Drosophila melanogaster: one gene and its partner. The protein of the gene in region 1 interacts with the protein of each later gene in a pairwise test. Each region holds a gene or a part of one and is shown in the gene's direction. Other genes may lie near its edges.

What was found.
Region 2: the proteins of CG14219 (region 1) and Ddr interact in a two-hybrid assay, tested with the Drosophila melanogaster proteins (one large-scale study listed by BioGRID).

What each region holds. Positions count from the first base shown.
Region 1 is NC_004354.4:19,583,870-19,597,004, reverse strand, and holds CG14219 (uncharacterized protein), read left to right. Parts: upstream 1-6,834; 5' UTR 6,835-6,933; coding exon 6,934-7,252; intron 7,253-7,319; coding exon 7,320-7,674; intron 7,675-7,751; coding exon 7,752-7,825; intron 7,826-7,880; coding exon 7,881-8,083; intron 8,084-8,141; coding exon 8,142-8,254; intron 8,255-8,333; coding exon 8,334-8,550; intron 8,551-8,609; coding exon 8,610-8,782; intron 8,783-8,842; coding exon 8,843-9,293; intron 9,294-9,353; coding exon 9,354-9,623; 3' UTR 9,624-9,657; downstream 9,658-13,135. Other genes in the region: CG14205 (uncharacterized protein), read right to left, coding at 1,615-1,833, 1,899-2,364, 2,468-2,640, 2,708-2,924, 3,016-3,128, 3,200-3,402, 3,467-3,540, 3,611-3,965 and 1 more; CG14204 (uncharacterized protein), read right to left, coding at 10,459-10,758, 10,829-11,300, 11,359-11,540, 11,832-12,048, 12,113-12,428, 12,502-12,575, 12,634-13,006, 13,066-13,135.
Region 2 is NT_033779.5:6,246,248-6,258,764, forward strand, and holds the start of Ddr (discoidin domain receptor), read left to right. Parts: upstream 1-6,875; 5' UTR 6,876-7,082; intron 7,083-9,611; exon of another isoform or gene 9,612-9,628; coding exon of another isoform or gene 9,629-10,279; exon of another isoform or gene 10,280-10,575; intron 10,576-12,517. Other genes in the region: AANATL2 (arylalkylamine N-acetyltransferase-like 2), read left to right, coding at 9,629-10,279.

The sequences.
Region 1 (13,135 bases):
ATACAAATTTGAAATATATATGTACATAGTATATAAAATAATGCTGGATGAACCCTTCCTGACCTAAACCTACATCGGAAAAATTCAAAATCTCCGAACCGCCATTCTGCACTGAGAAAAATTAGGTTATATTTTTAAATCATATATTAGAAGGCTTTACCATAAGTTACCATAAGTTTATGGGATAATTTAAATAAATAATTTGGTTCTCCTCTAAAATATATTTAGCAACCTGTGTCGCATCCATTTAATGACAATTTTCTTGAATACCTTTTATAAAATTTTTCTTGAATTTACGGCAAAAACTAACACCTACTGCCTTATATTTCCTCATCTTACTTTAGTTTGCATTCATTTATTTACTTATTTAATTTATTACTTACCTATTATTACTTATAAATATTGCTATTAATTATTAGTTACCACCATGAATGCAATAAAAAAATGAATTTCTAAAAACTTAAATACTGAACTCGGCTGATGTTTCATCGGACATAGGGTACCAAAGGGGCCGCTAGAGCCATGCCTTTAATGAAAGTGGTCATAGATAGCATAGGGCAATCCGCGAACATAATTAAACCTGTGTTGCGCAGGCAACCAATTCTTAAGCTATTCCTCCTGTTCTAGAACTTCCTCCTCCTTTCGAAAATATTAATTTTCTTCCTCCGATTTTGTATACTAGCTCCTCTATTCCGTTGTTGAAAGCACGCTCAATTCTTGATTTTAATTATTAATGCCTGTAGGGAAAAGGTATTTGTACAAGCAAGACCGCCACACCATGAGCTAGAGCCGGACTTTAAAGCGTGCACCCGCAAGTACAGGTTTCTCCCTTGCCCTTGTCCATAAACTTATTTCGTTACACGTTACAATTTATGCATGAATTGATACCCGTTTTGGAACCAGTGCCTGAATAGTTCATACTTTCATAGTTTTCAGTCACTTTGGCTTCTATTTCATCAAGTTCTGCGATTGTTTTTTATAGGGAACTCAGCATTCGAAACTTATCCGAAATGCGTTTCACTTCGCCACCAGTAATGTGCATCTAACTATAAAAAAGCTACGTAGATTCATTATGTTCGTTGTATAAGTTGTATAAGATAAAAGATATTACCCGTTCACTTTAAATTCGAAATTCGAAGCGTAAATTATTACAAGCCAAAGTATGCACTATTAAACTTAAGAAAAATTTTTTTATATCGATTATATAATATATATATATTATATATATATCGATTATATGACGTCAGTATGTTCAGTAAGTCATTAAAATCTGCTCTTGAAAGATGTTTCTTTGTAAATTACATTTCATTAAAATCACATTTTGATTAGAGGGCAAATCAAAGAATTTTTCAAAGAAAATAATTTTTTAATGTTAATATCCCATAGTGTGTCATATGGGAAAATTAAGAAAGCTAATCTACTTATAAAAATATTAAAAAAAAGTTCTATACAAATTGAATTGTCGATAATATTGTATTTCTTTGGTATATTCATATTTATGATCTACCTTTGTAGTTTTAAAGAATATATGTATGTCTTAAATGAACTAACATTAGTAAAAAAAGGTCCTTAACCTATAATTGATATCTTTGCTCATAAATAGTTTCGAGATCCTTATGCCGGAAGAGGCGTTTTATTTTCCAGTGTTGGCGCAGATGCACTGCATCCCCCCACTGGGGCCTCCTTCGACTCCTCCACAGCTGGGCGTGGTGGACAGGGCCTCTTGTCGGGAAGCAGGAGGCCTTCCAAATTTCCAAACGGCGCCTCGATCAGAATGTACACAGCGAAGGCGAGGAGCACGGTAAAGCCAAAATCGCACCAGAAACGAAGCATCTGCAAGGATTCCCATTCCCAATTAGTGTTTCGAACTACCAACGCATATGTGGCTTTGAACTTACAACTTGGTAATCACTGAAGTAGGTGTTGGTGCGCGTAATGCCGGCGTTGAGGCTCTCCATGAACATGTGGAAGATGTAGGCGGAGTAGGATAGCTTGGACAGCGGCTGCCAAAGGGGAGAGGAAAGGAAGCTGTTGGCCAGTCCTCCGTAGCCGTGCATGCAGGCGAAAACCACCCAGCAGAGACCGAGAGGCCAGGCGATCCGGGTGAAGGTCAGATAGAAGGCCTCCTCCACAATGGGTGGTATTTCCGCATCCGCGGCATAACCGTAGACGGCAAACAAGCAGCTGAAGAGCAACGCCAGGCTGGTCAGCCAACCCAGGACGACTGTAATGGGGCTGAGCTTGAAGGACTTGCCCCGGTTGACGTGCAGAAAGTATCCGAACAGAATACCAATCAGATACGGGGATGCCCTGGTGTGTGTAGAGAAGTATATCTTTTCCATTGCCCCCTCGCTGATAGCAATGCTGCAGGATAAGAAGGCAAGACAGTAAGGCAAGGGTATGTTAGTTACGATCATATCCATATCCATATCCATATCCATATTCATTCATATCTGTCTGCACTTACAGAGAAACGTCCCCGATCACCATGATGCTGAAGAGACATGCGGCAAGGAGCAGCATGGCGACCAGAATCCCGGCGGCCGCCTTCTTTCCCCACTTGTACAGGCAGATCAGGAGTATGGGTGCAATGATGTAGAGCTGCATGTCCACCGCCAGGTACCAAGAGTGGCCTAGGCACTGTTAGTCGAAGTTCGGTGTGTGATAAGCAACGAAATGCCAGTTAGAATTGAGTGGGATAACCTACGATTTCATCAGTGGCATAGTTCTGCACGTACAAGAGGGTCCAGTACCAGGTGTCCTTGCATTTGGAGTAGTCATCGAAGTTCACCTTCCCGTACAGTGGGCCATCGCCCATTCGTGGCAGAATCGACATGTAGACGATGATGGCCAAGGCCAGGACCGGAGTGAGGCGCAGATAGCGATGCAGATACATCAGGGACACATTGAGCTTTCCTTTGGTTCTGCAAATGGGTCAATAGGAAGTAATAATCTTTGTTTCCAAAACCCGTCTAAATGACACCGTGCATGTTGCTTAAGTCCAAAGAGTCGTACCTTTCCATTGCTCTTAGAGCTATCACCACCATCAGGAGGCCACTCAAAAAGAAGAACGTGTCCACAGAGTATGCTGCATGTTGCACTAGCATACTGTACGGCGATCTGCGCCACTGCATCGCGAAAATGTATGTACATCATTAGATATGGATTTTTTCGAGTTTGGAAAGTTGGGTGAGCTTACCGTGTCCAATTTGACAAGGTTCATGTTGGGGCCAAAGAAAGATACGAGGTATATGTGGCCATAGACGACCCAGATGAAGGACAGTACCCGAATGCCATGAAGGCAGTCGATCACATTGGGATTGCTCCTGGGTGCCACCAACCTGAAGAGAATCCGGCAGTTGGCGCGCGCGGAGAAAGCTTTAATCCACTTATTTAGCGGTTCTGCCGAAACGTATATCACATTAGCATCTGGAAGAGATTTGCACATAGCTTTGGCAATACTCACGGTCATCCTGGCAGACCAAGTAGTCGCAGACAGTGGCCAGCACCATGAGAACGCACAGTATCGATAGCACGACTCTAATGGAAATTTTGCATGATTTGATTTGATGTACGATAACATTACCATAATGCTTTTAAGAACACTTACATTGTGAAAATGGTTAGAGCATCGTAAGGTTCCCGATCGGCAGTCTTGCAGGTGCCCTCACTCACTAGAGGCACATCTGGATTCAGCTCAATGCTTAGGAGGTTCTGCAGCAATCTTCGGAGCATTGTGTCCATGTGGTCGGCTGAGCAGGAGGCGGGAAAGCACACCGCTGTCTTGAGTGCCAAAAAGGTGGGAATACTCGATGCCAACTGAAGCTTGCTGAGGCAGTACTTGCCCTGGACATTGTGAGTGGAGGTCACAGCGTGGTCTATGCCCAAGCACTCGTCGAAGTTGCCCAGATCGATCACATTGCCGTACAGGATGCCCGAAGGAAAAGTGCCCCAAGAGTCAATCACTGTAAACGATGATGGTAATCGGTAATGTCGGACAATAAGTCATATTTTTCTGTATCGACTATGAACTTACTTCTTAGGGCCCACAATTTTCTATCGGACACATCTTTCGCAAGAGTCTGCAGATCTGCCAGGCACCTCAAATCGTCGGTGGTGGGTAGTCGAATCTCCTTATCCCGATACAGATCGGATATCGTTATGTTCTGGTACTGGGCAAAGAACTCGACTGCAAGGCGTCTGAGTCTGGAAATTGTGTGGTAGGATTGTGACTGCCACTCTGGATTGCCTACGTTCAAGGTGGAGTTCTTTGGATGCTCCACACGTATACTGGCACTGGTCAGTGCCAAGGACATGACCAGGAGCGAAACGATTGGCCCTGTGCTATGCTTGACCATCTTGATGGGTTGGTAGTAATCAGCGCTTTGGTTGTGGCAGCACTTCGAACGATCTTATTTATACGAGGTCGAGACTTCGATAAGAGTAGGGCTTCAGTAGTGTTATCATGGGCACTGAGAGAACCTAGTTATCGTTCCATAATCTTTTTCACGACCAGTCCCAAATGGTTATTTGTGCAACTACCTCAATCATTGCCATGGTCAGCACCTGGTTTTGTGGGAATGTCCCCACTACGAGCAAAGTTCGACCTAATCAAAAATTATCTTCGAATAGTAACCGACTGGATCAGACTTAGTCGGCGATTATTCCAAACCCAATAAAACAGTCTAGACGACGCGGGCCGCTTTTGTGCAAAAATTGTTTGGACGAAAACACGTTTGAAGTGCTTTTTTTGGCGGCACCTGAAAAGTCACTATTTTGTGGGCTATCGCTTGGAAACGATCGATTAAGATCCTTTCAAGCCAACTTCTAGATTGTGATCCAAAATTCGAATAGACGCGCTTAAATTACAATCTCTATAATCTTTGCCAACTAAAAAAAAAACTGAATTAACCAAGCTAAGAGCATATGGCTAAGCATTCGCTTATTTAGCTCATTATGGCGAAATATAATATTCAAGTGGATTTTAAACAAAACTAATAGATAGCACCCGTTCTGGCTTTGACAAAAAGTGATTATCTAAACAGATTTGGGCACTTGTGCTAATCAAACCAAAGGATTCTTCACGGAATTGAAATTCGTACATTTCTAAAAAAAAAAAACTAACTTTGGAAAAAGTAGAAAGAAATTTGGTGACTGAACAATCATATAACCAGTTACATTGCTAAAAATAAGAATTCTCTGTATAACTTAATATTCATAATCCATAATATCTCCATAATTAATAACTCTGTTTCACGATAACAAATATATGGTCTTTATAATCTAGGATAAAACATAATATAGAACAAAAACCGAGAACTCAATTCTCATGAGAAGAAATCTTCTTGATTTCGAGACAAAAACGAGCTCAATTTTGCTATTTTTGATGGGAAAGCAGAAAAAATAAGTACGAATGGAGTGGTTGGAATCTAAGAATGGTTCGATCTCGATTTTAGTATGCTGAGCATGATTCGGAATTCTTAAATCGAGATCGTTGAGAATTATTATTATTATAATTGCAAGATATTTGCCCACAAATTAAATTGAACTAACCGCCACCGGGTTGCGATAGAGAGCCATTTCAATTCAATTCAATTCTTTCCACTGCTTTTCACATCTTCCTTCCACTAGCTAAGCAATGGGTATCTGATAGTGTTCACACGTGAACATGACATTGTATATGAGCGGTTGTATATTATATATATTTTTGAAATAAGTGCTATTTACATGGAGTTTTACGTTTCTCATTTTAGCTATTTAAGCTATTGATTAAGCTATTTAATAAATTCATTTTGAAACCATAACTCAACAAATTTAATTTAGATCGAAATGTGGTCCAGTTAAACCATAGATTTCCCACTTCTTTTCAAATTAGCAATGGTATTTTCTCTTTTCTAATCTTGCACTTCGATAGAATGCTCGTTACGTGGAAACTTTGTTTTATCTCTTTTGCTGGTTTATATGACTATGAAAATAGCCGTGCATGACAATATCACTTCCCCGAATAATAAGCCAGAATCGTTTAAGCGGAATCGCCTGAAATCGACTGATAACGTGCGAATAACAACTTTGTTTTGGGATCATTACAAACAAATTCGATGCTCCTAACGCGATGCCAATCAAGTCAGACGGCCTTCTTCGAATTACTCATTGATAGGACCAGACATTTGGCTTGAATACATACACCTCAAGTGCCAAGTACGAGTCACCTAATACCCGATCTGATTGCGTGGTCACAAGTGCTCCTCATAATTCAGCTGGAACCCATTAGGCCGTTATCACTAAGTGTTTGGTTATTCAAAACCGTTTATTTTTCAACGCAAGTTTCTATTCTTGGAGTCGCTGATCCTGAACCGAATATACAATAGGTTAGAATTTCAAGGAATTTTTTTTCATAAATCCTTATATCTTAACAATGAATTGTGCAAAGTTTATGCAAAGTGTTTTTTGTGTGGTTAATCAAGATGGTCAAACAATAAAACGATTAACAGTCCTTAGGATTTACAATGCGTAACTGGAATGATAATCTTTGATAGCTTCGATCTCAAAATCTAGCCAAGATCGAATCATGTGCCTGCAAATATCAACATTGAGATCGATTTCGTCTCGAAATCAAGAAGTTTTCTCAATTATTCCGGTTGTAATTACTTTAATACTTTACTTTTATATCTTCTAAAATTGATTCAAGTTAGTGACAGGCATGTGTAGATTATACTTAAATAAATCAGCACCATAAGTTAACACCAAAAGGAGACTATAGATAAGAATTGATTATCAGCGCTGAACGTGTGGGGCGTATTTTAAAACACTTTGCGTTCCATGGTTATGGTTATGGATTAATCGCAGAATGACGGACCATGAAGTGCCGCGAATATAAGCCCCCAGGCGCGTTGGCAATCCGATCAAATTCATTTCGCCACCAGACAGAGCAACATGGTTAGGTTGGCGTTTATCCTGGGATTGGGCCTTTTGGCTTTGGCCAAAAGTGTTAATGCACAGATGACCAACATATTTGCCATGACCAATACGAAACTGCTCACTGAGCACATTGCTGGTGGGGATCATTATTCGAGTATTTTCAACACCAGACGCTTGTCAGTGGAGTTCTTTGAGCACTACGCCAATGTAACTCTAGAGGATCTCACGGCGAACTCGAACTCGAGGATACCCTCGTTGCAGGATCTCGAGTGCCTAGCGGATCTAGCGCTCCTGTCCAAGGACCTATCGTCCTTTAAATTCTGGGCCCTGAAGAGTGAGTAGTGAGGCTTGCGTACCCAAGGTGCTCTCTGTACCTCAGTTTCGTTTCGATTCCGTTGCAGTGATTGACTCCTGGGGCCTGCTGCCTTCGGGAATGCTGGCGGGCAACTGGTGGAACTTGGGCAACTTCGACGAGTGCATTGCAATTGACCATGCTGTGACCAGCAGTCACAGTATCAAGGGCAAGTACTGCATCACCAAACTGACACCAGCTCCAAGTCTGCTGCCCATATTAGCTCTCAAGTCAGCTGTCTGCTTTCCGGCCACCTGTTCCGCCGCTAACATGGATACGATGCTCCGAAGGCTCTTCCAGAAGCTGCTCACCGTGGAGATTGATGCAGATGTGCAGATCGTCGCCGAGGAGACATGCCAGACCGCAGTGAAGAAACCGTACGATGGCCTCGCCATATTCACCATGTAAGTAGAGATCATAATCATAAAGAGATGATGGATGCGACGATGGTCTAAGATTTGGTTAACACGTAAACTTTCAGAGTGATCGTTTCGATCTTGGGTGCTATAGTGGGCGTCTGCACTATTTTCGATTATTTCTTTTGCAAAGATGAGAGTGAGTTCTTCGCGAATGCGATCCTTGAATCCGTAGTAATCGTCCGTGCTTGTAGAAACCATCCATCCAGTGGTAGAAGCCTTCTCGGCACGAGCTAACTCGCGTGCCCTATTCCGCATTGTGGACACCAAGGCGAATCCCAACGTCATCGATTGTCTTCATGGGATCCGATGCCTTTCCTTCATCTGGGTGGTCTACGGTCATGACTATATGGTGCTTGCCACGTCGCCCAACATTAATATGGGTTACCTTCTGACGGTAAGTTGGGCGAGTAAAAGAAAAACGTAAAAGTTCTATATAATTACCCATTATTTAGTGGATCAACTCATTCTACAGTCTGTTTGTAAAACATGCGGTCTATGCGGTGGACTCATTTTTCTTCCTGAGCGGTCTGTTGCTCGTGGTGATTGCCCTGCGATCAATGGATAGGTGAGTTGTGACTTGAATGATAGGGATATCATTTGAATTACTCAATTACTCACTTACATTGTGTTGTTACTCCGTCCAGAACCAAGGGAAAGCTGAATATACCCCTAATGTATTTGCATCGGTATCTGCGACTCACGCCCATCCTGGCCATTGCCATACTCTTCTACATGAAGATCCTGCCGCTGTGGGAAAGCGGGCCACTTAAAGGATCAATAAGCTTTGATGACTACTCAGCATGTGAGAGCACCTGGTACTGGACACTACTCTATGTGCAGAACTATGCGACTGATAGCCTGGTAGGGTCCTTCGATGACGACATTTTGTATCACCTTATATCACCCACGGTTTCTCGCAGTGCCTAAGTCATTCCTGGTACCTGGCGGTGGACATGCAGCTGTACATCTTTGCACCATTCCTCCTGATCTGCCTGTACAAGTGGGGCAAGAAGGCGGCTGCCGGAATCTTTGTTCTGATGCTCCTGCTGGCCGGCTGTCTTTTTAGCATCATGGTCATCAATGATTTATCGCTGTAAGTGGATGTTAGGGATACTTATATGTAAGATATTCAGAACAATTCTCTTATTTGCAGAGGAAGCGGCGGTGATTCGATGAGGAAGCTCTACTATGCCACACAGACTCGTGCTTCTCCCTACCTGATTGGCATACTGTTCGGCTACTTTCTTCATACCAACCGGGGCAAGGATTTCAAGCTGAACCGCCTGGCTGTCCTCCTGGGATGGCTGATTGCGTTGTCACTGATAGCCAGCTGCCTGTTTTCGATCTATGGTCAGAACACGTTGCCCATTGTGGAGGAGGCCTTCTACGTAAGCCTAACCAGGATCGCCTGGCCCCTTGGTCTCTGCTGGGTGGTTTTCGCCTGCATGCACGGTTACGGAGGACTGGCCAACAGCTTGCTATCCTCTCCCCTGTGGCAGCCGCTGTCCAGGCTATCCTATTCCGCCTACATCTTTCACATGTTCATCGAGAGCTTGAACGGTGGAATCACGCACACAAGTACCTACTTTAGTGACTATCAAGTGGTAGGTACCATGTTCCCTTGTACGCGGAGTTGACCATTCTAAGAATCCCCCTATCTCCAGATGCTTCGATTCTGGACGGACTTTGGCTTTACGATTCTGTTCTCGTACCTCATGCATATCCTAATCGAAGCGCCATTCGCCGGTCTGGAAAGCCTTTTGCTGCCCGCAAAGAGGCCAAATGCCAAGCCGGCCGCGGTGGTGGAGCCCAGGATGTCGGAGGTGAAGGCATCAGTCGAAGAATCTCCAGTAGGTAAGCCTGCGGAAGCGATATCCACGATACCCGACGAAGTTATTCAGGCTGCTCCCGAAAAGAGCAACGTTTTAGTATAATTACATTTAAAATATATGATTTCATGCGTTACGTAAAGTATTAAAACTGTGTTCGAAATTCATTGTACGGTAAGCGATTCCGATATTCTTGATCAGAATCACTGGACGAGTCGATACTTCCATGTCCATCCATATGAACGCAGATACGCCTACTTTTATTATTTGGCTTGCCCATTTCTGTCGATCTGCCCACAACATGTTGGCCCCGCCCACTTTAAGCATCCAAAATACAAGTTTAAAATGTTAATAAATACGTTTCGATTGGTTTGTCAATCGATTGATTTTATCGTTTTATCAGAGCAAATTCTCCAATTTCCTGACTATAAACATAGCATTTCGTCACTACGCAGATGAAAGTCAAGACACATGGTCAGCAAAGTGGGGAAGTCAAGTATACAAATACAAATACGTAATCTATGGAATGTAAATTATCAACAGATTTGGCTCTTATCAAACTGAAAAACTTGTAAACGCTTTGGTGCATACATATCTGATAGTCGAGACACTAGACAAAGTCGTTCCTTCTGTTTTTTTTTTGTGTTTCTTTTCTTTTTTTCTGTAACTGAATGGGGCGTGCATCGCCTCTGTGAGTCAGAATTGAAATCTTTGTGTGCCCATTACAGCAAGCCAAAGTCGGGAATCACCTTCATGACTAATTCGAAACCCACCTGGTCGCAAAAGTCGCAACCAGATAACGACTGATATCGTCTTAAGTGCAAGACTTTTCAACTCAAGGACCATTCATTCCATCGTAACTCTAGACCCGTGGTTAAGTTAATTGTGCCTAGATTACAAGTAGTTCGTTTTAATAAAGGCTAAATAGGAGCTGATAAGTCTAATTTGATAACTCGAGGTCAGTCTCTGTTTTGTTGGCACTCGTTTCCAGGTCAGGCTGGATATCACTGCGCTTCTCGTGCTGCACCACCTGATCCATCCCGTCCATGTGATCCATCTGGTCCATCTGGTCCACGACTTCCGTTCGGGACTCGATATGCAGCTGATCCTTTGCTGCTGGCGGGCTTCTGCGATTGGGAAACATAATTCTTTCCAAGGCCTCCAGAGGCGCCTCAATTAAAACGTAGAGCACGTAGGACATCAGCAGGGTAAAGCCAAAGGTGGACCAAAAGTTGAGCATCTATGGAGTTGGAAATGAAGCGTTCAAGTCCAATAGGAATGTCGAGTGACCCTGCCTGCCACACACTTACCACTTGATAGTTGGAGAAGTACGTATTGGTCTGAACGCTTCTATTGGCGACTTCCACGACAAAGATGTGCCAGATGTAGGCGCCGTAGGAGAGCTTGGACAACGGCTGCCAAAGTGGAGAGGAGAGGAAGCTGTTGGCCAGACTACCATAGCCCTGCATGCACGCAAAGACCACCCAGCAGAGACCGAGGGGCCAGGCGATCCGGACCAGTGTATAGTAGAGGGCTCCCTGCAACACTGAGGGCGATTTGCCCAGCAGCTTGGAGTACGGATACAAGGCGAAGATCGAGGTGAAGAGCGGGGCCAGGCAGAGCAGCCAGCCTGCCCAGGTAGCCAGGAGGCTTAACTTGAATCTTCGGCCGCGCATCAGGTGCAGGAGATAACCGAACATAGTACCGACCAACCAGGGCGCCGCATGGGTATGCGTAGCGGTGTAGATCTTCCTCTGAACCACCTGAGCCTGAATTCCATTCCTGTTAGTAATTGCAATTAGCATTGGGGGACACAAAACGGCGGGCGCGACTGGCTTACTTGAACATCACAGGGAAGTCATTCACCATTATGGTGGCAAACAGGCAGGCGGAGAGCAACAAAGTGACCACCAGGATACCTCCGGCCGCCTTCTTGCCCCACTTGTAGAGGGCGATCAGCAGGATCGGGGACAGGATGTACAGTTGCATGTCCACCGCCAAGTACCAGGTATGCGGCACGCACTAAGGAGCAACCAACAATCAAATAATTAGATAGATAAATATACAGATATAGTCAAGAGCTCCAACTGCAATGGCAATGGTACCACCGAACTTACATAGATGGCGCCAACGATCAATTCTAGTGCTGCAGGCGCCATCTATCGAAGTGATCTCCTATTCGCAGTAAAGCCACTAAACACTTTTAATTATTGTAACTTCTAAGGTATATAAGGTTGATACAGATCCATCCTGATACGGACGGACTAGATGGGCTTGTCCACCTCTCCTGATCAACTTGGACATTCAACTCACCACATCGGATGTTGCGTAGTTCTGCACGTAGAGCAGAGTCCAGTACCAGGTCATCTTGCACCCGGAGTAGTCGAAAAAGCCGATATCATCGTACATTGGGCCGTCTGCGATGAGGGGTATCATCTTGTAGAATGCCAGTATGGCAACGGCTACGATCGGAGTGAGGCGCAGATATCGGTGCAGATACATCAGCGGCACATTTAGCTTTCCCTTGTTTCTGGAGCCATTGAGAATGTTAGCCTGCCTACAGATCGGATTAATCCCTGTACAAGTTGACTCACTTTTCTATGCTTCGCAGGCCAATTGAAACCAGCAGCAAGCCGCTGATGAAGAAGAACGTGTCCACCGACAAGGTACCGTAGAGTATGAAGCTCGAGAAGAGTTGCGTCGCCCATCGCAGGTTGTCCGCTGGATTGATGGCGGGACCCTTCATGTTGATAATGTACTCATGGCTCAAGATTACCCAGATCAGGGACATGCACCGCATGCCATTGAGACAGTGGATTACATTCGGATTCGCCGTGTTCTCCACAATGGTGAACAGCGAACGCGAAGTGGCACGGGCTGAGAAGGCGCCGATGGGACGGGGTAGCTTTTCTGCGGGTAGACATGGATATATGGTACATATACATACATATAGGCTGTTATCCGATTTATGTCAGCTACTTACCCTGCTCCGGACACAAGAAGTAGTCGTAGAGGGTGCACAGGATAACCGTGACACCAAATACGGACAGTAGAACGCTGATGGTAGTCAGTTAGTATGGATAGATCAGCTAGGATGTATCAAGACACTACTCACACTGTGAATATGGTGAGCCCATCCCAGGGTGCTTTCTCCTTGATTCTGCACGACGTCTCGCTGATGGAAAACAAATTGGTCGGATCACTGACGCCAAGCAGCCGCTTGAGCAGTTGCTTGAGGAACAGCTCCATGGTGCCCGCCGAGCAAGAGGAAGGCAGGCACACAGCAGTCCTTATGTTGGTCACCGCCAGCAGCTCAGAAGTGAAACCCAACCACTTGGCAACCGGCAGCTCCATGAAGCAGTACTTTCCCTGGATGTCCTGCGATGAGGTGAGCATTCCGCCCTCGGACAGGCACTCCCTGTAGTTGCCCATGTCGACGCGGTTGCCAATGAGATATCCCGATGGAATGGTGCCCCACGCGTCGAGCACTTCGCATAGAAGGGATAAACTCAAATGGCATCAAAGTTGAAGATGTTGTAATACCCACTTTTTAGGGCCCACGCCTTGGGCGCACTAAGCGCACTCATAAACTGGGCCATATCGGCCAGGCACTGTAG
Region 2 (12,517 bases), on another chromosome or scaffold:
ATTACAAACTAAAAAAGCGTTTTAAAAGTACAGCAAAAACGGGTTGAGCAAAAGAAAGCGCTGTACATTCGTGCCTGCAATTTCGAATGCACCACCAAACGACAAGGATATTTTTCACTTTACTTTACTTCGCTGCCAACAAAATACAGGAGCAAGGCGATAGGGACGAAAAGGACGAAAAGGAAAGCCACGTCTCTCACATGACAGCACTGGGCGGAAATTATATATGGAATTCAGGGCCATGGCCGAAGCCACTTGTTGGCCCCGGCCCAGGACTCCTGTCCTCGTCCTGTCGTCCTGTCGTCCTGCCGTCTGAGTCCTGGATTTCCGCCTGCGATGTTGCCAATGTTAATCGAAGTTGTGTGCAGGCGAAAAAATGTGTTCGGTTCGTGGCGTTATCTCACGTATTGGGGCAGACATAAAAACAAATTACATGTAACTGGGATGAGGAAGCGCTGCTTAAGCGGCTTTTATTTGCAAAAATTGTAAATGGCATTTGTCTCTGTCCCAGTCTCGCTGTCCCTGTCGCTCTGCCTCTGTCTCTCTCCCGCTCGCTGTCGCAGCGAGCCTGCGTTGAGCCATTTCCGGTGTTATGCATTCCGCTTCCGGCCAGGCGAGCCAAAGTGCAGAAAAAGTTTATCAATATTGAAAAGTTTTCGCTTGTATTTACGGCTGTCTGCCCCAATGGTTTTCGTGGCATATATGGCTGGAGACATGCCCACAGCCGAATAGTAGTCATAACAATAAACCCGGTTCATAAATAAGTTATTAGTCAATGTTCGGAGTCTCTTGAATGCGGGATTGGTCTATAAAAGAAATGCTTATAGACTAGGAAACTGCTTATAGCTCCATAAGATTGATTTGCAAATTTGAATTATAGTCTAAAAACTTGGCTGAATGTTGATTAAGGGACCGAATTTAAATGGGCAATTATGCTGTCATCTCAACTACTTGTATTTTAAATGTACGCCCTAAACAACCCGTAAAACCCAATTAAATATTAATCTGTAATTAAGTAAGTTTTCAATAATTTTCCGTTTCGCTTGTGTCACCAGCTTAAAATTCGCTTCATCATTTATTCATTATCTATGGGTCCCGCCGATGAACTTTCCTTCAAAATATATTCATTTATCTGAAGGGTTGTCTCTGTCTCCTGTTCCGCTCTTGTTTTGATGGAAACTTTAAACCCGACCCGAAACAAGAAGTTTACCCACCAAGAACAGATTTGTAACTCAACTCTTGGAGTCGGGTGAAAGCACCTTTCACTCGCCCAACATCCGCCACTTTGGCAAATGGGAATTCGTTTTATTTGATTTGATGGTCACATTGCGTGACAGTAATTACAAAATAAATGCAAACATCTGCACCAGATCACAGGCAAAGTCACGGAAGAAAGTGTTTCTGTTTTCCTAAGGGATGAGTGCTGCATATGTGGCCCGGCTTGGGGAGTGGGTGGGTTTCGGGTTGAGGGTGGATGGTGTACGGTGTATGGTGGTTTTTCCCATTGTTATTGTTGGTAATTTGAGTGGCGATGCACACACTAGCACTTCCCTTTGATGGATTGGCCTGCCCAGATGCAGTTGGATAAACAGAGGAAGGCGGAAATGTATTCGATTACATGTGTAAGTTGCGCTTAAGTTTTTTCCATTTTCCATTTTCTGTGTGACAAATTTTCGACAACATCTGAGACCAATTGCCCTGCCCGGCCACCCCTTGTAGTTTTCCACCTTCTCAACTTGCTCGCTCTATCAATCAACGGGAAGAAGAGCAATCATAAAACTGCCATTAAGCTAAAGACGAGCTCTATCATAAATCTCAATCGGTAATCTTTGGGTAAACACTCCAAACTTGCATCGTGCACCCTAACCCCAAACTAACCAACCTGTCTTGGGCGACTGTCCTCCCCCGATGCGTTGGATATTTACGGTATTAACATATTGTTTACTTTCTTCTTTATCTATGAGTGCAGCAGTGGCTGCCAATGCCCCGGCCCTTATTGATTTTGCAATTTATCACACGAACTTTTTGTTCTTCAGCGGAAACGGAAATGGCGCAAAAAAGTGGTCACGGCTAATGGCATCATAACCGTACATAAAATATTAATGGATAGAAAACCCTCCCCTTCTATTTCCATACCATAAATGTAATTGCTTCGGTTAGGTGAGTATATATTTTTTTTCAATTTTTAGAAGAGCTGAAAAATATAGAAACGTTTATTTAGTTTTCCACTCTAATGAATATCTAACTCAAATGTTGCTAGTCTGGCAACCCGAAAAACGTGTTAATCTCAGCCAACTAACTACACTTCAATGCATGCTGATAGTCAAGCAAAAAAAAAAAAAGAAATGTAGTTAAATCACAAATGAAATGTGAATGAAATATCATTATTACTCTCGTTTATTTTAAGCATTTTTATGTACACTTATAAATATAGCTACGCAAATGCAGAAGAGGTGAGTAAAATCAATCGGTATCCTTTCGGCAAGGGCCACTCATTCAAGTGTTTTTCGAGGCGCCCAATAAAGGACTCTCGAACAAGCCTGCTCGCCCCAGCCCTGAATGGCACTCCAAAGCCCCAAGAAAAACCAACACGAACAACACTACGAGATTCAAGGTTTGCACTCGAAGTGCGTGTGAGGGAAATCGTGCGAGTGTTTGAGTGAGTGAAGTGCATGTATCGGACATTTTGATTAGCTTTGTGACTGGACGTCGTCTGCCGGAAATGGAAATACAACAATAGGGGAGTAGCTGCCGACGGGTAGGTATATTAGTGCCCCAAAATCATTGCTTGCCAAATGAATAATCTGAAATTATTACCCTAGAATATGCTGTGATTTAGGTGGTAAATTGCACGAGCTAATATGAATCAAGTTTCATAACTGGAAAATCCATCACCGAATATAAATTCAACTTAGTTACACTCAGTCAAAGTAGGCCGGAAGCGGACCGGAAACGGTTACGCCTCATCCATCGCAGCTAGGGCTGTTCGAGAGCCTACATACCAAAATCGAAATCACACTGTTCGACTTATGAAGGGTCCTCGACAGCAGGTGGATTAGGAGCGGTGTTCGAGGTCTGATACGTCAGGTGCCAGGTGCCTCCATGCTAAACTCATGGCTCCTTCGCCCAGCCAGCTAACCAACCAGCCAGCTGATTCTGACTCCGGCTCAAGTTTGGCATGAAACAACAATAAATATCGCACCACACACTGAGTCCCTCCAATCCCTAACTCCCTGCCCCACCACCACACAAACACCTACCCACCCACACACACCCACATCCACATGAATACCACACACACGACGCAAATTGCTTAGCATACTTTACGGCTTCAATTGGCAATTGGCAGCCTTTGAATTTTGTTTTTCCCCACCCACCCCATCGCCCCACACCTTTTCCTTTTCCGCTCACATGCCGCAGGCAAGGGGCTTTTGACACGAGTTGGTTGACGGCTTAAGGGGGCTGGGTGATGGGTGTTGTGGAGAATGGTGGTTGGGGGACAGCCCTAAGAACGCCGCCTGCCTGTCAGCTGACAAGTTGGCAACTTCTGTTGTTGTTGTCGGTTCTATGGAATTCCCCTTTTTTTTAGCTCGGCGCACTCAGAAAAATTTAAAGCAAAAAATTTGGCATAAAAATTGACAGGGGAACCTAGAGCAATCGATCTAACTAGTATCTAGTTAAACTTCTAACACCGTAGAAGTTTAGAACAGAAAGATAGAAATCTTTAAAATTGAAATTCAATACAGAGATACTTACAAATATATGTAGGTAAATGTCATATATTCCATAGTCCGAAAATTTAACCGTTTCTATGGCATTTTCTTGGATTTTAAGCGGAAATTGTGGTCATAAGCCCATAGTGCGACTGAATGTGCAACGCCGAGAAATATTTTGGTAGTCGAGTTTGCCCGCTGCGAGTTCCTTCGACCTTTTCAATCGACTTTCAACAGCTTATGACACCCAGCCTTATTATGACCGTCATGGCTGTCAAGATGGGAACCCGTTCCTCAGACGCTGTCTAATATCTTCATTAAGCCGGAGCGCTCGGCTTGTACCTTCCGTTCCAGCTCCACCTTTCGCCGCGCGCATTTTCTATTTGTTTTTCCCGAAACCTCACTCCGCAGTCGCACCTGAGCTCTTTTTTGACAGGCCAGACAGTTCAGGTGTAAAATAGTTTGCCACGTCAGGCGGCTGCGTTTTTGGCCGCCTATCTCTTTCTCCGTTTTCTCCGCTTATTGATTTTCCACCTTCACAAATGTCAGGACAATCAGTCTGACGTCTTGACTTTGGACCTCAAACGCCCGCAAACGGTCAGTTGTATTGGAAAACAAAGGGCATGAATCTTTTCTGTTTTTCCCGCTTTTCTAGTGTTTCGTCCCACGCGAATTTTGCGTCAAGTCATTGATTTTTGAGAAAAGATGGGAAGGAGCGTCATCGGTTCTCAAATCCTTTCTCGTTTCACAAATCATTTTGCCTAATTGCTTTGGATTTCTCAGTAATCCTCGAGACGGCCCGCCGTGACCTATCCTTGAACTTCCAAGGTCAATAGACATCTTATAGATTTATTGTATTTATATCGTAGGATTCACGTTTGATCCTATAATTGTGGTAACAAAGTGTAGGTTTCTACAGATTTCATTCTTTTCAATAAACTTAATCATATGATTTTAATGTTCAGCTCTTTAATTCAACTCATTTCCAGACAACTTCTTCTTTAATAAAAACAATCGCTTAAGATGCGCAAGATTATTCCCAATTGGCTAAGTCTGGGAGACAAAAGTTAAGTGCTCATTTTCCAATGCGCTGCTATCAACAGTTTGATAACTTTGCAGACATTAAATCGTTCACGGTTTGCAAAGCGTGAAAAGAAAAGCAAACAGCTGTAGGGAAAAACTTGTGATAAGAACTCTTGGCTCATGCTCGACATCAATCTGTTTTCCCCCTTCTGCATTAAGTCAACAATTTGATATGCATTTTGTTTTGTTGCTGCAAACACATTGCTCTCTGTCTTAGTGGGTTTTGGAATTTTCAAAGTTGCCTTAAGCCCCCGTGCTGCAACTTTCTGACAGCCGGTGATTGAATGTTTGGCAACGACATCGGGGATTAACTCGGCAGTTATCCTTATCAGCAGTCCGATGCCACCGGGGCCATTCAGACGCTCGTTGGCCAGACATGGCCCTAATTGAAGTGGCAACTTGCTTTAAACTAATTCCCGGCGATACACGCTTCAGCCATATGTTTATTCAGAAAGTGTGCCTGTGCAGATAAAAGGTATAAGATGAATTTGTTATTGAATAATGTCAAAATCGCATAGCCTTGCTAATTTCTTGTACATAATCCCTAAACGCAAAATTAAGCACATGTGTGTAATTTATTTGCTTAATTTTAATGCATTTTTGGTGTCACATTTCTTGGGTCTTTTATTAAGATTGACTACGCATAATAATTAGAGAGTTTAAACATTACGTTTTTGTTGCACAAAAAATGTTGTAAAAGCTAACAACATTTAACTGCATTTGATACAACAAAATTAAACCAATGTAGGTTTTCTATTTTAAGGGCTTTGCCTTGAGCTCTTGTGTATTTTTGAGATACATTTTACTTTATATAAAACGTAGATATTGATTTTTCTGATTAATAAATAGACAACTGGTTTCCAAGCAAATAAAGAAATTTAAGAATCGAGGCAATATTTAAGGATGTAAATGCGCAAAAGCCTTTAGGGTTTTACTCTCTGTTTGAATAAAATGTCATAAACAGCAGCCCACTTAATTAAATATTGGTTACTTGCATCTTTTGATATTTATTTTTTCCTCTTAGTTGCGACAATTTTAAAGTCTTTGTTGTTATCTTTTTTACATTTTTTTTATGATATCATTTTTTTTTACACCTCTCATACTCGAGTTATGAATATTGTAAAGGTAGAAAAATAAACTCCATTACTATATTGGTTAATGAAAGTTGAATACATTTCGCGGTGCCATGTTGCTTTACTTTGTTAAAACTTTTTTAAAAAAAAGTTGCATTCGCTTCCGTTCAGGATAATTAATTTTTTCGATAGCCCATTTTGATTTTTTCCATAATAACTCTTTTGCTGGCCGAAAACTTTTGTAGTTGTTTACATGACCCCCATCCCCCCCGCGGAGTTCAGCTGTTAGGATCCACAGCTCCTTATTTACCTTATGTAAATGTAAATGCTTATCAACAGGCAGCCGCGCTCCGTCTTATACGACGAAACAACGAGAGTCGAAGAGAGCGGAGCACGCTCTTAAATTGCAGAACTCTCTGATACAGTTCAAGTTAATACAAAGTAACGTTGAGTTTGTTTTGTTTGTGTGGGCGGGCTGGGCGGTGAAAGGTGAAGCAGGTCCAGAAATGTAATCAATAATTTTAAATATTTAATGCGCTAGCGAGAGAGTTTTTCCAGAAAAGTTGTGAAAAGAGGTATTTTCTTTTCAAAAACTATCTTAGCAAATGTGTCCAGTTTTGTATTCAATTTTGCATCAGAAACTATGTACCTTTATTTGTATTTACAAGCCAGAATTATGGACTCACCTGTGCCAGCAACAACTCACCTCCCCCTCACACAACCTACTCATACTTTTCTCATCAAACAAATGGGATCCACATGCGAGCGAGTTTGCGCCAATGATGAAAGAGAGTGGCGCTCTTTTAACCTACTCTTTCAAGTACTCTTTGCGACAGCAGGAAACGTCGCGCAAGGAAATCGCAAATGTTTCCTCTTTCGTGTGCATGTGTGTGGTGTCCTCCGTGCTGGTTCGTCTGTGTGCGTGTGGATGACATTGTGGCACTCGTTGAGGCAGCTCCAATTGACGGGCCAGTAGTCGTTGCGAAACTTTTGCTGGAGCAACGCGTCGGACAACTGGCGGTGTTGCACCTATCGTTATCGGCCATCGGCAATCGATTGTCGGCAATCGGCTATCGACAACAAACTATCGTTATCGGTTATCGTGTGTGTCGACCTTGGTGGTGATTAGTGTTAACGGTAACTTAACCATGTGCAACATCATCAAGCGAATATTGGATCATCCGCAGGACTCCAAAGGCCTCCGAATGTCCAGGTGAGCCCGTATGCTTTTCCACCCAGTTTTGCCACCCTGGCGACCCGCTTGCCACCACGAAAATTAACCTCGTTTGGCTTAAATGTAGTTAACTAAAGTTAAACGACCTCTAATGTCGATTTAATTATGTGAAAATAAAAGTTATGATTTCGTTTTTCGGCTTTTAGCTCATCTTAATGGGGTGATTAACGGTAATTCGCATGGTCGGGACGAATCCAATAAAAAGTTTAAGAAGTAATTGAAACTAATTAAAACTATGCTCACCGAAATATGCACCTAATATTTGCTAACAGCTTTATGATGCCATTAAAGACCGGCCAAAATTTGAGGGGGAAAAGTTGGCGGCGGCCAATCAAATTTGAGTGCTCCAACTTAAAATTAAATTATTTTGCTCTACTTTAACTTACATAACTCAAACCACTAATTGCTAACAAAACAATTTCAAATGGAGCTCATAAACTAAATCTTTAGTATTTCGCAGTGCCTGCAAATTCGACTTAACTTCTTACATGCCAAAATGCCATAATTATTGTGATTGTTAAAACGAACTAATGGATTGATTATAGCTATTCACAGCTCAATAGTTGAGGTTTAATGGGGACCTTGAAGTTATGATAATGAAATGTCTGATTAAGTGATAGATACAAAGCGCATAGTTCGGGCAACAAAAGGTAGCAAACCGTTTTAGCGCCTGAAAAACCCGCAGGCATTAAGATACCAGCTCAGATAGGCGTAGAGGTGATCGTGGGAACGAACTTTGACCCCTGCCAGTGCATTCGTTTTTAATTAAATGGAAGAGTGGACAGTGGAGGCCAAAAGTGACTTTTGAAATGGTCAGGCAGATAAAAGTGCAATAACTATAAAGCGAGGGTGGCGCAAACGCTATCGGCAGTCGGATCCTGGAGGTCGTGGACTGGGCGAACCCAAACACGCACAAATTTGTTAAGCGGGTCACGTAGTCCGGGAAATCCCATGCCATCCTAGCCAGCCCCTCTGGGTGTTGTCATCAACACGAAAATAAAAATAGAAAATTAAACTTGAAACGCGCAAAATGGCTACAAATGCTCTTGCTCTGCGCTGTGAAAATCGATTTCAATAAACTTTAATTCGTTTTCGTTTTCCCCACTGAAGTCATCGGATGTGGAAACCTTGAAAATGACGCAACAAATTAAATGCCAATAATTTAAAACAATTGCGACTCGAAATGCCAAGTAAAAGCAACCTTAAAAAGCGACCAGAGCGAGATAGCGTTTTGTTTATGGCTTTTAAATCTAATTAAATTCCCATAAAGACCGCGAGCGATATCAAAAAACAGCGCTGCACGTAGAGTAAATAAATAAATAAAAAAAAATGATTTTAAACTTCAAACGGGTTCAACGACTACCAAGCCCCGCAAATAATTGAAAAAGACAACTAGGGGGCGGAAAATGCAAAACGGCGATGGGCAACAAAGGGTTAATGTGGTGCAGTAAAGTGCGTGTGACAGTCCACGAGGGCAAACTAAAAAGGGGTTGATGTAAATTGCACTAATGACCTGCATTTTGAGTTTGAACAGCGATTCATAATTTAGCCAAATGATTCGTCGAACAGAAGGTGGGAACTCAACCACCGACTTGTTTCGCATTGAAACACGCAAAATGCAAAAGCAAAGCCCTGCCTTAAACCTGTTCAATTTTATTCACCGGACCACTCATTGTTTGGAATATTATTCACCACTTGAGAGTGGAATCGCCGTCTACAGACCTCAAGTTAACAACTTTTGTCCAAGTTTGAGAAGCAATTTTAACCCATATATCCCGGTGATTAGTGGCTTCCAATCCGTGTGAACTTCAGGATCCTGAAAACCTGATATGTTATCAGAGCTACAGTTTCAGGATTAAACAGATGCTTATTATATCTATCACTTTTTATATGTAGGGTACAGCTTGCGTTTAAGAACGAGTATCTTATAGTCGAGTTCGAGCCGGGTAGAAATTATATTTAAATGCCATCCACAAGTGGACTACTTGCCTAAAAATACCTGTCTTGAATTACCCGTTATACACTCTATATAAAAACATATTAAGTCTAAAGCTGCGCAATCTACACTTGAGATCAGTATCTACCGGCAAGTAAAATAGCTACATATAATGTTCCGTAGATATTAACCCAATGATAAGATCCGTATTACGAGACATATGGGGTCTCATATAAACCGTATAATGACTCGTCGTAATCAGGTGGCGTCAATCGGACCGCTAAATGGTTTGAGATCATTATTCACACGCTCAGAACAACAAAACTGGTGTCATTCAACCTCGGGGCCGCTTGTTTAGCGAACATCATTTTGAAAAAAAGCTTTGATAAGAACTGTGCGTCGGGTCAGTGGGTGGTTGGGCGGTGGGAGGTGGGCGGTGCGTTGGGAGGAGGGCCCCATATTCGTGAAAAGCTCAGAACGGAGACGATGGCGCAAGCTCACTGCATGTTTGATGGCCTGGCATGTATATAACAAGTAAATTGCGCTAAATTTCTCTCAGTCTCAGTCCGCGAGCGAGGCAAATGCGAAGATGTCAGCGATCACCATACGCGCCATGACAATCGGGGATTACGAGGAGGTCGAGGCCTTTCTCGCAGTGCACTTCTTCAAGCAGGAGCCGCTAATGCTGATCCCCCAGGAGGATCCCAAGCAGAGCGAGGTGTCTTCCGCGGAGGCTGAGCTACACCGCTCGCTCATACCCCAGGATCTCTCCCTGGTGGCCGTCGACGGGGAGCGCATTGTGGGCGTGGTTCTGGCCGGTGAATTGGTACCCGAGGATCTGGAGAGGGAGTACCAGGAGGCTGAGCAGAAGGAGATCACGTGCCTGCTGGACAAGATACACAAGTTTCTGGCCGGGATCGAGCGGCAGGCCAATATCTTCAAGCACTACGGAGTGGAGCGGGCGCTTTACCTGTACATGCTCGGTGTGGACGTGTCCATTCGACGCCAGAGAGTGGGCACCCGCCTGGTGGAGGCCACCATTGAGCTGGGTCGCCAGCGTGGATTTCCCGTCGTCACATCTACCTGCAGCAACCAGAACTCCAAACGCCTTATGACCGCCCTAAACATGGAGTGCATACTCACAAAGGATTACGCGGACTACAAGGACGAGCACGGGGAGATCGTCCTGCGGGCATCCGAGCCACACACCTCCGCCAGTGTCGTGGCCATACGACTGTAAGAGTAGGAAAATTACCAAAGAATGTAGAAACATAGCTCATGGCAACATGATAGATAGGCAATATAAGGAGGGGGAGTCGTAAGAAACTAAACCGATTTTGATAGATAAGAAAGCTTTGTTTATGTAGACATTGTAATCAACTTTGTATTGTTTTCAGTTCAAGTATATAGGAATTCAAACTATTATCATAAGTGTTTGTCGTTGATTTCTTGGGTCTTGCAAAATAAATGAGTAAGCGTGCAATTAACCGGGTATTTCCCAGCACTGTCCCATCCAAGATCGTAACTCTTCCACATAAATCACTTTGGAAAATCTGTCCGATTTGTCTGTGCGATTTTAAGTGTGGGATAAGAAATCCGGCGATTTGCTTTTGCCCAACATTAGCAGTTAAAGTCGTAAACGAGAACAGCCACTTCTTTCCCGTCGAGTGGCACATCCCACGAACTTTGCCCTCCCATTAGCTCGGCCTTGCTGCGGGGACCCACTTCATCGTATTCCATCTCGGTCGTCCATTAAAGGGACGCAGCACTGTTGTCGGCACTGCGGTTGCCCTGCTCTCATTTTTCCGCTTTCGCACTAAAACTAATTGTTGTTTTATTGTGTTTGTAATCCAATCCACTGGCGAAACGCTAGCCACATGCGATGCAGGCGCAAACCATACATATATATGAGATACACATGGGCGACGGATTACTCCCCTTCGTCGTCTTATCTGTGATTATATATATAAAACATATGATTATGTAACATGTGCGTTGTTTTGGTTTCGATTGGCCGCGAAGGCTGAGCAGAATTATGGATCTCACACTTGGCTACCTTGAGCAGAAAGCTTTCTTTTCACGCTAACCGAGAAGCTTTTCTGATTCTCTGGTCGCAAGAACCTAGAAGTTGTGACAATTTTCCCAGATACTTTTTTTATGCTGCCGAGTTCATTTGATGAAGGCATGTCAGAATAGCTCGAGGTAGTTAGTAACTTGAAGGATTAGCATTCGGTACATAGAATTTGTCGAAAACATAAAAATTCATTTTTGAGTAAGCTGGTGAGGCTGGAAGTGCAACAGAATATTTTGGAATGTAAATGGCGACGAGGGACTGGGACTCGATTGGAATGGGTCCTTTGGGTGGCCAGACAAAGTCCTGTCTGGTTGAAAATTCAGCAAACAGACCAAAAACCAACGTAATTTACATGTCTGCAGGATAAGTTCGACAAGAATCGAGCAGGAGGGGCAAATCTGAGGAAAGTCAGAGGGATTTTTACTACCGCTTTGGCCTGAACAGTCTGTTTGCCATGTTTCGCCAGTCTGGTAACAGTTGTTGCTGACCCCTGACCCTCAAATAGAAAAATTCGATTGGAGATAAAAGCGTATAGTCTCAAATTGCTTAATCAACACCAAAGGTTATGATGTAAAGCAATCGATTAGATGACTGTAGCAGCCCTTTAGCCAGATTCTCGGAGGCTCAAGTTTTAATTAAAAATGCTTGAAAAAATGTTGCTAACAAAGTCGCCAGCATAATGCAGCAAAATTGCCTAAAAAGAAAGCCGCTGGCATGGAAAAACATTTTAACAACCACATCCCGCAGCGGAGGGCAGTGAAGCCAGCCCCATGTTGGCCCGGCATATTTGCAAACCGCCACAGTTTTAGGTGCACTGAAATTTCTCCAAATATTTGCGCAAGTGAATTTTTGATTTATGCCAGCAAAGCGTGACCTAAAAATTTTTTCATACTCAGCCAAACTAATTAAAAGTGAAAAGTTGACATTTTCTAGTTGAATTTTTGATTTATGGCGTGAACTTCCCAACCGCAGCGAAAAATTTAATGAAAATTCAATCAAAGTTTGCGGCACTCTCCGTGAGTTCGGATTATTTTGCGGCACGGAAAACTTGCAACATATGGCTGCCCAGTCTCCCAACTTCCCACTTGCCCACTTGCCCAGCTGCCCTGTATGACCCGACCTCCGTCCGTTTTGTTATTGTTTAAGTGACCCTAATGAAGATTAATTTAGAACAAGTGCTACACTCACTGCGTGAGCGTTTGTGCAGCCGATCGTCTATTTAAATGTTGGAAAAAAAACACAAAAATTAAATCTCATTCATATGACACACCAAATTGTATGCATCGACCCAAAATACTATACAAAATTTTTAATTTTCTAGGGATAGAACAAGATTTTTTACCATCAAAAGATTTTCAATTTGTTGCCTATCTCATTACTTAAATCAGGGTCTCTTGATTTTAT